3 linked regions of the Saccharomyces cerevisiae S288C genome follow. The main gene of each other region encodes a partner of the protein of the gene in region 3 in a complex. Each region holds a gene or a part of one and is shown on either strand. Other genes may lie near its edges.

What was found.
Region 1: PRP43 (region 3) and NTR2 share a complex: the UniProt entries of both Saccharomyces cerevisiae proteins name them as parts of the NTR complex.
Region 2: PRP43 (region 3) and SPP382 share a complex: the UniProt entries of both Saccharomyces cerevisiae proteins name them as parts of the NTR complex.

What each region holds. Positions count from the first base shown.
Region 1 is NC_001143.9:481,253-485,604, forward strand, and holds NTR2 (Ntr2p), read right to left. Parts: upstream 1,888-4,352; coding exon 919-1,887; downstream 1-918. Other genes in the region: ALY1 (Aly1p), read left to right, coding at 1-729; RQT4 (Rqt4p), read left to right, coding at 2,167-3,759; DBP7 (putative ATP-dependent RNA helicase), read right to left, coding at 3,892-4,352. UniProt on the Saccharomyces cerevisiae protein: Involved in pre-mRNA splicing and spliceosome disassembly. Promotes release of excised lariat intron from the spliceosome by acting as a receptor for PRP43.
Region 2 is NC_001144.5:970,590-976,439, forward strand, and holds SPP382 (mRNA splicing protein SPP382), read left to right. Parts: upstream 1-2,805; coding exon 2,806-4,932; downstream 4,933-5,850. Other genes in the region: guanine nucleotide exchange factor DCK1, read left to right, coding at 1-1,106; protein kinase regulatory subunit ATG17, read right to left, coding at 1,328-2,581. UniProt on the Saccharomyces cerevisiae protein: Involved in pre-mRNA splicing and spliceosome disassembly. Promotes release of excised lariat intron from the spliceosome by acting as a receptor for PRP43.
Region 3 is NC_001139.9:280,520-286,586, forward strand, and holds PRP43 (DEAH-box ATP-dependent RNA helicase PRP43), read right to left. Parts: upstream 3,419-6,067; coding exon 1,115-3,418; downstream 1-1,114. Other genes in the region: mRNA-binding protein NAB2, read right to left, coding at 1-4; GPG1 (Gpg1p), read right to left, coding at 258-638; protein kinase COQ8, read left to right, coding at 3,923-5,428. UniProt on the Saccharomyces cerevisiae protein: Pre-mRNA processing factor involved in disassembly of spliceosomes after the release of mature mRNA.

The DNA of each region.
Region 1 (4,352 bases), on a different chromosome or scaffold from region 3:
GCCGATTCTCATGCTATTCCTGTGGATCCTCCATCATATTTTGATGTATTAAAGGCCGATGGGATTGAATTGCCATACTACGATACAAGTTCATCTAAAATTCCTGAACTAAAACTAAACAAATCTAGAGAGACATTGGCCAGCATTGAGGAGGACTCATTCAATGGTTGGTCTCAAATTGATGACTTATCCGACGAAGATGACAATGATGGCGATATAGCATCTGGTTTCAACTTCAAGCTGTCAACCAGTGCTCCGAGTGAGAACGTTAATTCACACACTCCTATTTTGCAGTCTTTAAACATGAGTCTTGATGGGAGAAAAAAAAATCGTGCCAGTCTACACGCAACATCAGTGTTACCTAGTACAATAAGACAGAACAATCAGCATTTCAATGACATAAACCAGATGCTAGGCAGTAGTGACGAAGATGCCTTTCCCAAAAGCCAATCATTAAATTTCAATAAGAAACTACCAATACTTAAAATTAATGATAACGTCATACAATCAAACAGCAATAGTAATAACAGAGTTGATAATCCAGAAGATACAGTGGATTCTTCAGTCGATATTACAGCATTTTATGATCCAAGAATGTCATCAGATTCCAAATTTGATTGGGAGGTAAGCAAGAACCATGTTGACCCAGCAGCCTACTCGGTTAACGTTGCTAGTGAAAACCGTGTACTGGACGACTTTAAGAAAGCATTTCGCGAAAAGAGAAAATAAGTACATTATTTTCATTCTCCGACAGAATTGCTACCATTTTACTTTGTGTCCTGTGATTCAATAGTGTACAATATATTGGACATTTTATAGTATACAAATATACACCATCAATCTATACATCCATATCACTTGTCGTAAAGATATCCCTTTTTAATAGTACAGCGATTAAAAAAATAACATGATTAACGTTCAGTTACCAATGAGCTTATTTATTAGGCTTGCTTTAGATTTTTCCAAGTCAATTTTTGTTTTTTCTAACGCTTGCAACCTCATCTCAACCTTCTTCCTTTGCAAGCAGATCTTCGAAACCATCTCGTTTATTCTCTCAATGCTGTTCCCACTTTCATCATCGTCTGGGAAAAGTACCGGTAAGGGCGTGATGATTTTCTCATTCGATTTGTTTATATTTCCTTTGCTTAAAAGCTGGGTTTCCCATTCTTCATTAGTTCTGTAGGGCACTTCATTTATGGCCTTCTCTATAATCTTTCTTTTAGAATCCTTTTGAATAGCAATTTGATTATCCGTGAGGGCTAGCATTTCGTCTTGAAAGCCTTGCATTTCATCGTCACTGAAGTTCGTAATCTCCTTTTCATTGTTACGTTTCAGACCACCATTTAATCTTATTGTCTCCATAATTTCGCGTTTATCCTCACTGTCCAACAATTTTACATAATCTCTTTCTGTTGTAACATCACTCTCACTAATTTTCCTTCTAGATAATGACTTCTGTGCTTTCAGTTTTGCAATTTCTCCTCGGGTTGGTATACTACTAATGTGCTCACCTTCGGAGCTACTGCCAGCCTCTGAAGAATCACTTAATAGATGATGATTCCCCTCCATCAAGTCCTCCATATTGAGAATTAGCAAATCATCTTTGTTTCGCGTCGATGCATTGGTATTTTTCTTTGAATGGTAAAGATCTTCATAATGCGAATTATCCTCCTTTATTGCTTGTTCGCCATCAAAGGTAATGTCGCGCTTAGGAACTTTTTTAAACTTTATTGGTTGTAATACACAAATGTCGTTGTCATCATCTTCAGAATCGTTCGACACTAGGGGCTTAATTTGCTGCATTGGCTTATGCGCAGAACCATCAATTCCAACCTCCTCAGGAGAACCACTTGGTAACCTAATTTTATTTCTTTTCTTGATCGCCATAATGTGTTCAAATGCTATAACATTGCTAGGCAGAACTTGACGTAACTCGACCAGTTATATTGCTTCTTCAAAGCACAAATTTATGATGATTGCTTTCAGTTATGAGGTTCATTTCGATATTCTTTATGATCTTCGCTTGCCGGGTATCGGACAAATATTGAAATATTATACAGCAAGAAAGAGGCATAAAGAGCCTGGCAGCAGCAAATAATGGCAAAGTGAACGTAGTCCGAGAAACAGTGGCTTAATTATTTAACCTTGGGTTTGCAGTAATTAATAATGACAAGAAAGCAGGCTATTGACTATGCAATCAAACAAGTTCCGCAAATATTGCCTTTGGAAGAGTCTGATGTAAAAGCGCTGTGCGAACAAGTACTGAGTACATCATCTGATGATCCAGAACAAATTGCTTCAAAATTTTTGGAGTTCCTAGGTCATGAAGATCTATCGTTTGAATTTGTAATGAAGTTCAATGAATTATTGAATCAGAATGATAAAAAAGAGGAAAAAAAAACGAAAAATGTGCATCTTGAACATACTGCCCCCACTTCATGGAAAAATGAATCAAAACAGCCCACTAATAACTATATCAATAAGAAGGGAGATGAAAAACCAAAAAAATTAAAGGATGAGAAGAAAAGCTCGACAACGAGGCCTACCGTTCAACCATCAAATCAATCTACGCAATCAAACCCCATAAAGGAGAAAAAAGAGCACAGATCAAAGGGGAAATTACAATCGTTACAAGAAATAGACGAAGCAATCAAGATGCTAGAGCTTCGAGATAGCGGTTCTTCTAAAAATTGTAATTGTCAAGGTACAAGGCATCCAGTTTTCGACATCGCGCCAAACTGTCTTCACTGTGGTAAAGTGGTTTGTGTTATAGAGGGATTGAATAAAGGTAAATGCGGTCATTGCCATGAACAGTTGATTTCTGATAACGAAAGAACCCAAATGGTAGAAATTTTAAATCAGGAAAAAAACGAACTAAACGGTTCATCATCGTCCTTATCCAATGCGTCAAATGGAGCTAATGTCCCAAAGAAGAAGACTAAAACCTACAAAATAACTTCCGGTATGGGTAAAAATTTATTTGCTGAACAGGACAAATTATTTGATTTCATCGAAAGGAAAAGAGAAAGAGAAAGAAAGCGTAATGAAGTGTTGAAATTGCAGGAGGAAAAAGAAGAGAGCGAAGCAAAGGAAAGACAAGCGAGCGAGCATGACCATAAAGCTGAGGAAAACCCGGAGTTGTTAGCAGCACAAGAACGATTAGATAGACTTTTATATTTCCAAGACACTTCGGCAGAAAGAACAAAAATTATTGATAATGCCAGCGATTTTGACATGAATCAGGAGGTGGGTTTATGGGGCAGCGCAAGAGAAAGAGCTCTTGCGTTGAAGAAGCAACAACGTAATTTGAGAAAGTGGGAAAAAGTAGAAAAGGAACGGAATGGCAGGCGCGAGAAGTACGTTGTTAGCATGAATATAGGTTCAAACGGTAAAGTTACTATGACAGAAGTCCCTAAGGATACAGAGAACGTAATTGCAGGTTCAGATGATGACATCAGTGATATAAGTGACGAAGAAGATATCAGCGACCTTAAACATATACACGCTCTGAAAAGTGAAATAAATACAACGAAATCCTTGGAGAATTTGCATTTACAGTCCAAAGCATGGGATTACGAACGTGATAAAAAACAATTCGATAGGCCTACGTATGTGAAAAAAAATTCAGATACTGCACAACAGAATAGAAAAACGGAAGAAAAGGCTCACGACATGCAAGCTTATGATTTAAAGTCAAGAGTACAAGTGGACCAAAATGCAGACGCATCAGTAGAACAGAATATTCTTGCTGTACTTTGATGAATGGTAAAAGTTTATATTATATATGATAGAGGATATAACCGTTATTCATTTTCTGTAGATTTTATCATTTTCTTTGTCTTCATAGTATACAATTTTTTTTTATATGAATTAATGCTTGTTCTTGTCTATTTAGTAGTTAAACTCACTTGCTATTTGCTTCTCTGCCATACGAGCCATACGAAACATTTTATTTTTAGAGTTTTCCTTAGTTGGCTTCTTTTCACTATTACCATCCTTACTACTTTGCAATCCCATAGCCTTTGGCCTTTCACGTAACCCAAAACTTTTAGCTAAATGGCCTAGATGTAAGAACTTCACGTTGAAAAACTTCTTTTCTTGAGAGATATGCGTTGCGTAAGCCCTCACATGACTAATGAAACCTTTAACGGCCAAATTTTTGAATGCGGAATCTCCCACTACTCGTCTTTCTATATTCAAATGCCATGTCGTAGCATTGGTATCCCACTCATATTCTTTATCGCCCACGTCTTTATTTTTGGACGATTTCTCATCTTTTCTAATGAATTTATCATTTCTGTTGACATTCACATCTTTGAAAGCCGGCATTAGTATTTCTTTATCGAATTTCA
Region 2 (5,850 bases), on a different chromosome or scaffold from region 3:
CATTTGAACACATTACGTCTATGCATGACAGGCTTCTACGAAGCTATCATGGGTCAAATATTGTACACTCACAAGAAGAAGTGGATATGTTATTGATGAATCCTCCAATGGGAAAATACATTCATGTAGCTTCCGTCGAACCGTGCTTAAGTATATCCGATAATTACAACAGTAGTGACAAGAAAAGCTCAATTAACAACAAAGTGCGGATGTACATTGAGAATAGAGATTTGAGGACTTTCAGTAATTCTCGACGTTTGCCAGGCGCAAAAGGAGTCACTGACCTGTGGGTGGAGGAATATACGTATCATACTATGAATACTTTTCCAACACTAATGAATAGATCAGAAATTGTAAAGGTTACGAAGAGCAAACTTTCTCCACTTGAAAATGCAATTCGTTCCTTACAAGTTAAAATACAGGAGTTATATGGGCTTGAAAACATGTGCAATAAAACTCTGAAGGACCACGGTGATGTGAACGATTTATTTACCGAGCTTTCTACAAATATTACGGGAACAATATCAGCTCCAGTTAATGGAGGCATATCACAGTACAAGGCCTTTTTAGAACCCTCCACATCCAAGCAGTTCAGTACTGATGATTTAGGAAGATTGACGCTAGCTTTTGATGAGCTTGTTGCAGTATTAGGTCGCTGTCTAACGTTGCATGCAGAACTACTACCATCAAAGGATCTAAAACCATCACATGATCTTCTAGTGCGTCTTTTTGAGGAAAATTTCGCTGAGGAGATAGAAAGATATAGTCGTACTCTCAGTGAGGCCAATCGTAGCAGGAATAACATGATTACTGCTCGAATAATTTCGCACAAGAACCCCAATAAAAAGGCAAGCTTTTCTGGAAGGGATCATCACACCTCAGGGTCCAATCATAGCCAATTTGTATTAGAACATAGCGACTCATTTGGCCCAAACAGTTTACTTTTTGGAAAATATTTAACAAGAACGTTATCCCACTCGTCCACTACGAGCAGTTTGGATAAAAGTGGAATTGTTTCCGGCACTTCGAGCACCTTTTTGGCAGGGTCACAGCCAAACACCAACACAGATTCACAGCACAAGCATGATTACTCACATTCGGGATAATATGTCAGAAGTTGTTCACTATAAAATATACGCATATGTAATCATTTATTTATTCATTCATGACTTTTAGTTGAAAAGGGCACATTTTTCTTTGTCGTAAAAGTGAAGAAGACAGCGAATTTTTTCCTTTCTCCTTCAAGTATTGCTTTTTTGATAAAGTATTTTTCGAAATATTGATACAATTATTGAATCTTTGTACCGTATCCTTTTTTTCCTTTTTTCTAAGGATTCTTCACGTTGTAATTTAAAGTGTACAGGGAAGAAAAATCGTCAATTTTACCGGGCCAGATTGTCTCAGGAAGATAAGTTCCATTTTCCGCTATAAAATTCTGACGTTCTTCCTGGTCCTGAGCATCTAAATTCTGCAACTGCTTTTCACAATCTTTCAATATAGTTTTCATTCTGTTTGCCACATCCTTTCTCCTCTTTGCTTCTAGAACTAAGTTACCGTAGCTTTCTTCAAAATTATCATAAAATTCACAAAGTTCCTTAGTTGTTTGAATATCTTGTGTACAGGAATTTTTGAAGCTATCAATCAGATTGGAAATATCTTTAAAGATTAATAGATATTCCAAATTTCTATTGAAATCGTTTATTATTTCAGAAACTTCGCTGTGTAGTTCTGTCTTTTCCTTTATTTTTGCCTGCAAAAATTGACCCAAGTTAAGAATTGTTTTGTCCACGTCATCAATTACCTCATGCAGAGTTTTGAAAATGTTGTATAGTTCTTTGTCGTCGCCTTGTACCACCTTAAACAGCTCCTCACGTTCATCGTTATCAATTTTTTTATCTTGTAACAGCAATGTCTTATCAAAGTGCTGTGTCAATGAATTCATTATCTCTGCTAAATCTTTTTCAAGGTCCGTTAGTTCCCTGCTAAACTGCTCTGCAACATTTGTTTCCATCAGGTTATCTATACCAAATTTACTTTGGAATTTTTGAGTTACGTCCGTCAACTTGGTATCAATCAGTTCTTTGTTAACTTTTCTGACCATATTTTCGTATTGAAGCTTAATGTTTTCAATTTGACGCTCAATTACTGGCACTTCTTTCAGTTTGTCATTCAATAAGTTAACGTTGTCTCTCGAGATGTAATCTCCTAGTTTAGAGGGATCGGTATCATCTTTTTCTGATATGCTCAATTCATTTACTATACCATCCAACCTTTGTACTTTAGAAGTGATTTCATATTGCCAGTACTTCATCTCATCAACTAAGACCACTAAGACAGCTTGATTCCATTGTTTCTGGATTAGCTTTGTCCCAATGCCTTCCTTTAAAATAGTGTAAAGAAACTTTCCTTGCTGTCTCAAGCCAACTATTAGAAAATTGAGTTTTGAAATACTCAACTGCCAAGATGACAATTTTTTCTTAATATCTACAATCCTTAAATTAGCACTTGAACATAAAAGTTGAGCATCGGTCAGCGTTTTCCTGGCATTATTAACAAATTTTGTAACATCTGCTTCGTTCATAGGTGTTAAATACGTTGATAATATCCTCGCAGTATCGAATTTATCGTACGTTATGCGACTTTCAAATAATTATCAAGTTAGGGATATCTTGCAATTTTTAATACTGAGGCCTTAGAGCGCGCATCTAGTATTTACATTATGTCAAAACAATAACAAAAATCCAAAATTTCGAAATAGTACAACCGAGAGAGGTCGAAGAACTTAAGCCTTCAGTACGCCAAAACATGGAGGATTCGGACTCCAACACAGATAAAAAGTTCTTTTTCAAAAAAAGAAGAATCGATTCCTATAATTATAGCGATGAGGAAGATAATAATTCAAGCATGAATAGTGACATGACATACACTAATGATGCCTTGAAAACTAGTAGCGGCAATGCCCCAACGATCTCAAAATTAACGAAGACATATGGTATTGGTGCGAAGTTACTTTCGAGTATGGGATATGTTGCGGGAAAAGGCCTTGGGAAGGATGGTTCTGGTATAACTACACCAATAGAAACCCAAAGCCGACCTATGCACAATGCAGGTCTAGGAATGTTTTCAAATACCAACTCCAGTAACTATCACAGTGAAAATGAGGATTACTTGAGCTCTGAGGATGAGGTGGTTGAAGGTATAGAACAAGTCAAATTCAATAAAACCTCCACGGAGGTTTTAGGCGAAGCGTTGTTAAATGATAGTGGTGATATGACTATAGTGCGAACACTGAGAGAATTGAGGTTAGCAGGGGTACAATTACCAGAGAGTATCCTAAAAGAATTAGACCCTTTAAATGCAGTACCAAAGCCGAAAAAAGATGTTGTTGTGGAGATATTGCAAGAGCTGCTGGGTATTGAAAAAAGTTTGGAAGCTATTCGTCAGCGCACCTCTCCGTTAGAAGTGCAAGTCAAAGAATATTATGGACAAGAGAGGCTTCTTTCTGAATTGGAGGTTACTTTGAGGGACGAAAGCAAGCATGTTTCCCTGTATGATAAGATTGGTGCTATTTTAAAATTGTCCGACGACGAGCTCATAGATAGGCTAACGTCCTGCTTATTGAGAAAAGAATTACTAATAGAATTTGATTTGGATCATTTAGAAAAGCCAAACGATATACTTGATGAGTTAACGCAAATTATAGAACTACTCGCATATAGAATGGATACAACTTCGAAATTTTTGAACAGGACACAAACAACAATCTTTAAAGTTATATATCCCAAACTCAAAAAATTTTGGGAAGGGTTTGATATGACTAAATCAAAAATCGACAGCGCTATCACCCTATTACTGGATTTCCAACAAGTGCTAAGTTTTATCGGGTGTAAAGAGCATATCATGGAGGAATTCGTCTATCCAAAGCTATTACAGGAATTAGATAATTGGGAACTTCACGATGAAGTAGACCATGTTTCGCCAAGAATATGGGTCTTGGATTTTATGGTTTTAATTGACGATAAGATCAAAGACACAATTGTGGACAAGATTGAAGCAAAATTTTTTGCTTATTGTAAAAATTGGTACCATAGGGAATCATTTTGTATCACTAATTCTGATATTATATTTATCAAAGAACTTATCTGCGAACGAAGATATTACAAAATTTTATGTAAAGAGTTTCTTCCTAAATTCCTGGACGAGCTGTGGGAAAGACATAATGACCCCATCTACGAGTTAGAGGATTGGAAGGAAAAACAGGAATGGAAAGAAAAAGATTCTGGATTTTTCTATTTTATGAAAAAACTGAGAAGTTATACCCATTATTTTCATCCAAAACAGTATGAATTGATGATGCGGGGAACCTTTAATAATATAAACAAAATACTCTATCAATGGCATCTTTATAGTACAGTGGAAGACTTACACAAGTCAAAGTGGTGGCTTAATTGGCTGATGAATACGGTATTTGAGCACTCTTTACCAACAGAAATAGAACTATCGGAGATCAGAAAAAGCTATAATATATTCGCTATGTCTCATAGGTACCACCTTGATAAATCTACATTAGATGAAGATTTCGATTTGAGACAGGGTTTACGAAACTTAATGGAAACACAAGTGATCGACGATATTAGTCAAAGCGAACAAGAACCTACCTATACTGTACAAAATATTCCGCTTGGAAAAGTTAGCAGCTCTTTCAAGGATGTGGTAGAAGACTACTGCCTGGAAAAAGGGTACTTGATCAGCAAAATACCAAATAGGTACACTCAACTGCCATATGGAAGAGACCAAGATTGTATAGTTCCTTTATTTGAGATCCGAAACGGGAAGAAAAAAATGGAAGTTGCTTTGAAACATGATATTCTTTGGGTGGAGGATTCCAGTGGGACCTTTAAGCCAATTTATTTATGGGCCCTTGACCTCTAGAAAGTACCTATAAAAGAGGTGAGATAGGCACGATTTATATATTATTGTCGAAAAACAAAATTGATTAGATTACTAAATAAATAATAATTGCATTACCATTTTTAGACAATGGATTAATTTAAAGTGGAGTCTATTAATTCCCCTTATTTGATAGTTGTTGGTATTTTGCCCTTGAAATGTTTCCAAAATTTATTGTTTAAACTTTTATACTTCGCTAGACTCTCGTAGTTAGACTGTTAAGAGTTGTGGCAGAAGGAAACGAGTTTCGGATGGGATCAAAGGACCTTTTTTATATCAAGATCAAATGGAGCTGTTATTTTCCAAGAAAGACAGAAGAAAGCCCGAATGTGGCTAAGTAGTGAGCCTAATCAAGTAGTCAGCTTCACTTGATATTAGTTTATACGATTACTATTTTAATGGAGTTTTTAGCTCACTAAATAATTTAATGCAAAAAAAATAAACGACCCCAGTGAGGGTTGAACTCACGATCTTGCGATTAACAGTCGCACGCCTTAACCAACTTGGCCATGGAGTCTTTTATTTCCGATATCTGCTGAGTTAAAAATTATATAATATTATTGATAGCTTCTATCATTGACCTTCAATTACTTATGTTGGAATATCAAAAATGTGAGATTTTTTTTTTCAAATAGTTTTGAAGAATCAGCGAATAATTTGATACTTTTTGGGATTCTTGTTAGTAACGGCTATTGTTGGAGTTAAACTTCTTTAAATTTGTAGAGTATGTGGATTTTGATGTAATTGTTGGGATTCCATTGTGATTAAGGCTATAATATTAGGTATGTAGATATACTAGAAGTTCTCCTCGAGGATTTAGGAATCCATAAAAGGGAATCTGCAATTCTACACAATTCTATAAATATTATTATCATCATTTTATATGTTAATATTCATTGA
Region 3 (6,067 bases):
ACATTTCTGATGTACTTCCACTTCCTTATGATCAGAGATAATTAGAAACCACTATATTTAGATGTTTTATGGAAGTATTTGGAAGAAAGATGTGTAAAATTTTGTATTTTTCCCATTTGCCACCAGCGAAGCGAATATCACTATTTCCCCGCTTCGTATTTTGTGTAACGATGTACGAGAATACAACAATGTTTATATAATTGTATATGAATGTTCTCTTCACATTAAACTCTGTGTATAAGGTCGCGTTGAGCAAGCTAGTGATAGAACCTTCTCCTAGGATACATAGAAAGAGTGTCATCAGTTCTTGTTAGCTCTTCTTGTAACTGTGTGAACAAATCGTCGATGTCCCAGTCCAGTTCTGACATTTTCATTGAAAGCACATCCCTATATAAACGTCTCGCCTGGTTCCTTTTTTCTAGCAAAAGTGCTAACAAAGATGGCAGTGTTGTGGCAGTAACTTCCCTTGATTCAGGCTCAATTTTGTAATGAACCACACGATCGGTAAGTGTGTGCAACTCTCCGACAACGGTGACGAGGTTTTCTTGAGTATTGGAGAATAACAAAACTTCCCAGAAATTATAAGTTGGTTCAGCCCCAGCCGAGGCTTCTTCCTCGATGTCACTTAGATAAAACATGATTGCTACTTAAAAGATTTCTTATCTTCTCTGTAGTTCAAATTAGATAGTGGAAAATAAGTTTTCTTAATATACAGATATATGCGGTTTACCCCAAAACTACTTTGATGGGAAGCCAACATCCTCGTTGAAATTGAGTGATTAATTTCGTTGCAAGAGTAAGATGCTCGTTTTAAGCATCGTTAAAGGAGTAATTTACCTTTACGGTAATCTTTGCCATTTTTAAGGGAACTTCCTCACACCGCGGTTTGTTTCTTTATTTGTTCTTGTAAAAACACCTCGAAGGGAATATAGGATGTGCTCTATATAGACATACCCAACAAAAGAAAAAAGCTTCTTTTTGATACAGGGCGCTATGATTTTAGTACAAGCAGCTTTAGGTTACGTGTACCTATTTCTAGTTGAATTTTCTCTCTATGAAATAGTCCTATAAATTTATATAAATCTATTTTTTTTTTTTTTTCGACACAAAATGTCTATTTCTTGGAGTGCTTACTCTTCTTTTTGTTTTTACCTTGTTTCAACTCGTTTAATCTATCAACTTTTTCCTTGATCCTTTCCAAAGATAATTTGACATCACCTTTTTGGAAATTGCTTAAGTCGTAGTATGCAGGCGCTATTTCAATCAGCCATTCGGGCCTGACCGAGGTCACAGTTCTTATGTAGTTCTTCGATGTGAGCACAAATTCATTGTAAATGACCCATTCTGCGTCGTGGCCAAGAACCGTACTAGGATGGATCAGAACATCTTGGTTATCTTTAACTGTGATGTATCCTTTAGCTCCCGATCTTTTTTTTGCTACTTGCATGAAAAACCCAGACGCAAGAGCCTTTCTGATGTTGTCAAAGTATTTAGGGCTTTCATAGTCTGTAGTGTTTAATTCTAGGTTGTAACGGTTCATTAATCTTTCTAATTGGGAGCGGATATTATCAGCAGCGGAAAGGGACCTGTAATTTAGATAGTGGTCACGGCACCACTTATGGATACCATATTCATAAGCTTCATCCGATTTGAACGCATGATATACATTTAGTAAGGTGATATGATCACCGTCTGGATGAGCAAAGATATTCTTGGCATCATCTGCTCGCTTCTTGTCCTTTGTTGGGCGAATAAACACGTTTGGAACCGATAGCATGGCCACTATAGTTAGTATTTCTTGAGAACATTGGAACTCAAAGGACCCAATTAACATCACCGCTAGCATAGGATCCAAGGGAAACTGGGATGCCAATCTACCTAGGGGTGTTAAGTTACCTTCGTCGTCCAGACATGCCAAATAATTTAGTTCTTCAAGGGCTCTCATCATTGTTTCCGGAGCCGGTGGATCCATAAAATCGAAATGGACCAAGTCATCAATACCTAATTTTTTTAGTTCTAGAACGGTGGAGGATAAATTGGAACGTAAAATTTCTGGGTAACTTTGCTCTATCAGTTCCTTTTGGAATGCCTCTTCAGTGTATAATCTGAAACATTTACCAGGCCTTGTACGACCAGCACGACCAGCTCTTTGTTGGGCAGAAGCCTTGGAGATAGGGGAAACAAGTAAAGACTCAACTCTAATTCTTGGATTGTAAACTTTTTGCTTTGAAAATCCTGGGTCAACGACGTAGACAATACCATCAATTGTTAAAGAAGTTTCAGCGATGTTCGTGGAGATAACAACTTTCCTGCCTGGTCTACCATTATGTGACTCTGGAGCAGGCTCGAATATTCTTTGTTGTTGATGCGGTGGTAATGAACCATACAGTGGGTATACGGATAAAGGTCCGCATCCCTCTTCTCTAACCAATTGATCACCTTCTAAGGAAATCTTTCTGACAGCGTCTTCAATTTCATCTTCACCAGTTAAAAATAACAAAATATCGCCAGCCTCTTCAGTGGCATGAATTTGCAAAACAGTACGAATGGCAGAATCTAAATAGTCCCTTTGAAATTCCGGTGTATAGTATAGCTCAACTGGATATGTTCTGCCCGGAACGGCAAGTAATGGAGCATCGTTGAAGTAGCGTTGGAACTTCTCTGCATCCAGAGTAGCAGACATAATAATTATCTTCAAATCAGGTCTCCTCTTGACTACTTGCTTCAAAAGACCCATCAAAATATCAGTAGCTAGTGTACGTTCGTGCGCTTCATCCAGAATGATACATGAATAACGCGACAAGTCATGGTCTTCCATTGCCTCTCTCAACAACATACCATCAGTCATATACTTCAATATCGTTTTATTAGAAGTTTTATTTTCGAATCTGATAGAATAACCAACTTCTTCGCCCAACTTGACATCCATTTCCTCAGCAACTCTCTGTGCAACAGACATTGCTGCGACACGACGAGGTTGAGTACATGCAACTTGAGTGTTCTCTAAGTGTGGCATCTCATCGAATAAAACGAATTGAGGAATTTGTGTCGTTTTACCGGAACCTGTTTCACCAACAAAAACCATAATCTGGTTATTTTGATAAAGTTTTAAAAACTCATCTCTCTGGGCATGTACTGGCAATTCTCTTCTAATTTTCAGGATATCAACATATTTTGGTGTAAACTCCCTACCGGTAAATGGATTTATTTTTCCATCTTCAAGTTTTTGGGCCTCTTCTGCTGAAGTATGGTGACGTTGCAAGCCCTTGAATTCACCAGCATCATGATGGACAAGTGGCTCTTCGGATGGAAGAGGATGCTGTTTGGATAATTCTTCCGCAATCTCGGCGGCCTGCTCAGGAATAGAGGTCTCAACTGGATCCGGGTGTTCGGACGAGAATCTTCTTTTGGAACCCATTATTATTCTTGCAGTCCTAATCTTTCTATGCGCGTTTATAAGGTTATACTATCGTTACTCAATCGCATCCCCGTAAACGTGTTAAATATTACAATTGAATAAGTTTCTTTTCACCTCATCTCGCATTTGAAAATTTTTCAGAGGCACCGAAAAAAAAGAAAAAGAAATAAAAAAGGACTTGTGTATAAGATCGCTAGATCAATAAAAAGCAATCTGGTAGATTTATGGGACTCCGAAATGATACTGTCAGTTGAAACAGCAAACGAATACAGAGCGTAAAACTAAACGACCTTAGTTTGGAAAATGATGAAATTTGTCCATAACTATATACTATCAGTCAGCAAACTATGATCCGGGTAATATTCATTTGTAAAGCTTTAGATCTGTAATAGTACCCAGTACTTTTTTAGATGATCTTAATTAGTTAAGATCTTTCTGGTACTGTACTCAGTACGCTTCCTTGGCATCCTTATTGGGACCTGTTCGGCTAAGATATCGTTCGATATGGTTACAAATATGGTGAAATTGAGGAATTTAAGGAGATTGTATTGTTCATCCCGTCTCTTAAGAACTATACAGAACGGGAGAATTTCTTCTGTTTCTTCAATATCGTTGAGTAAGAAATATACTACAAAATCTGCCAAAGAAGGTGAAGAAAACGTAGAAAGGAAGCATGAGGAGGAAAAAAAGGATACATTAAAAAGTTCCAGTGTACCAACTTCACGAATATCGAGATTGTTCCATTATGGCTCACTGGCAGCAGGGGTGGGCATGAATGCCGCAGCAAAAGGCATATCGGAAGTTGCAAAGGGCAATTCTCCCACTTGGAAATCTTTGATTCTATCAGATTCGAATATTGACAGAATTACCAATAAATTTTCTAAAATGAGAGGTGTTGCCCTTAAAATAGGGCAACTATTGTCTTTTCAGGATGAGAAAGTGTTGCCAAAGGAATTATACGAAATTTTATCAAGGGTACAGAATAGTGCAAATCATATGCCTCAAAGGCAATTGGAAAAGGTTATGGCCAAGGAATTAGGTGCTAATTGGAAGACAAAGTTTTCCAAATTTGACAAGATACCTATGGCAGCTGCTAGTATCGGACAGGTACATGCGGCAGAGTTGCCCAGTGGTCAAAGAGTGGTTGTCAAAATTCAATATCCTGGGGTTAAAGAATCCATTGATTCGGATTTGAATAGTTTACTAATGTTACTTACAGCCTCAAGTTTATTACCGAAGGGATTATTTTTGGATAAGACAATTGCCAACGCTAGAACTGAGTTAAAATGGGAATGTGATTACAACAGAGAGGCTAGAGCTCTACAAAAGTTTGAGGCGTTGCTAAAGGATGACCCAGCGTTTGAGGTTCCTCATGTGTTTCCTGAATATACAACCGATAATATTATAACTATGACACGTATGGAGGGAACTGAAATAATGAAATTGCCCAAGGCATCACAAGAAACCAAAAATTTTATTTCGGAGAATATCATGAGACTATGTCTGGAAGAAATTGCCACTTTCAAGTATATGCAAACGGATCCTAATTGGGCAAATTTCCTCTATAACGGTAGGACAAAGAAAATTGAATTATTGGATTTCGGTGCCTCCAGACCTTTTGCAGAAGATTTTATTCTAAAATATAGAAAACTTTTAACTTACGCCACATTGAGAGATAGGAAAGGGGCGTACGAAATGTCTGTACAACTGGGCTATCTCACAGGCTTAGAATCGCAGTCCATGAAAGACGCGCACGTCGATAGTGTACTTACACTTGGTGAACCTTTTAGGGGTGATGTAGATAAATCTTTCGATTTCAAGGATCAAACAGTCTCAGACAGGATTAGAGGTAATATCGGGTTAATGTTGAATGAAAGACTATGTCCGCCACCAGAGGAAACATACTCGTTACATAGAAAATTTAGTGGCATTTTTCTTTTGTGTGCAAGAATGGGTGCGTCTGTTCATTGTGCAAAGCTTTTTAAAGAGATTTTTGCCTATAAAGTTTAAAATACTTCCCCGCTATTTGTATATATGCATATCTTTATATTATGAAAGATATTTTTTTATTTACTTTTAGTCCGTATACTTTTATTTTGTTTTGTTAGACAATCTCGAAGAACAAAAAAAAAAGATAAAACAGAAAGATAAATGTGCACTCTTTTGTACCTCGTTCTGCTATAGTACTTCCAACCAGATCGACTGAAAGATTACTAGTATATACGTCATGTTTTTAAATAGTAGTTCCCATTCTGCTTCAGTGAATTAGATATTTTTTTCCAATCATTCTCTTTAAACCCTCTGCGATAGTGATCCAACATTTTCTTAGCAACGCTAATCCTTCTGCCAATAGCTTCTCAAAATATACACCATTAACTTTACAACATTACATAATATGACATTCCACAGAACCTCTCTATTCCATTTTACCCCATTTCAAATTACTTTTTAGTCTTTGAATTGGGTCGCTTCCTAATTATAGAATTATTTTTCTCTGTAAAGTCCCAGCCTTGTTACAATACAATTGTACATCATTCATGAGAGATGAATATAATCTGCATTTCTTGTTCTAAATTGAATATGTATCTTTGAAAATACTCTGTATGCAGGCAACTTCTTTACCAATATTTACTTTATGAAACACGCCAG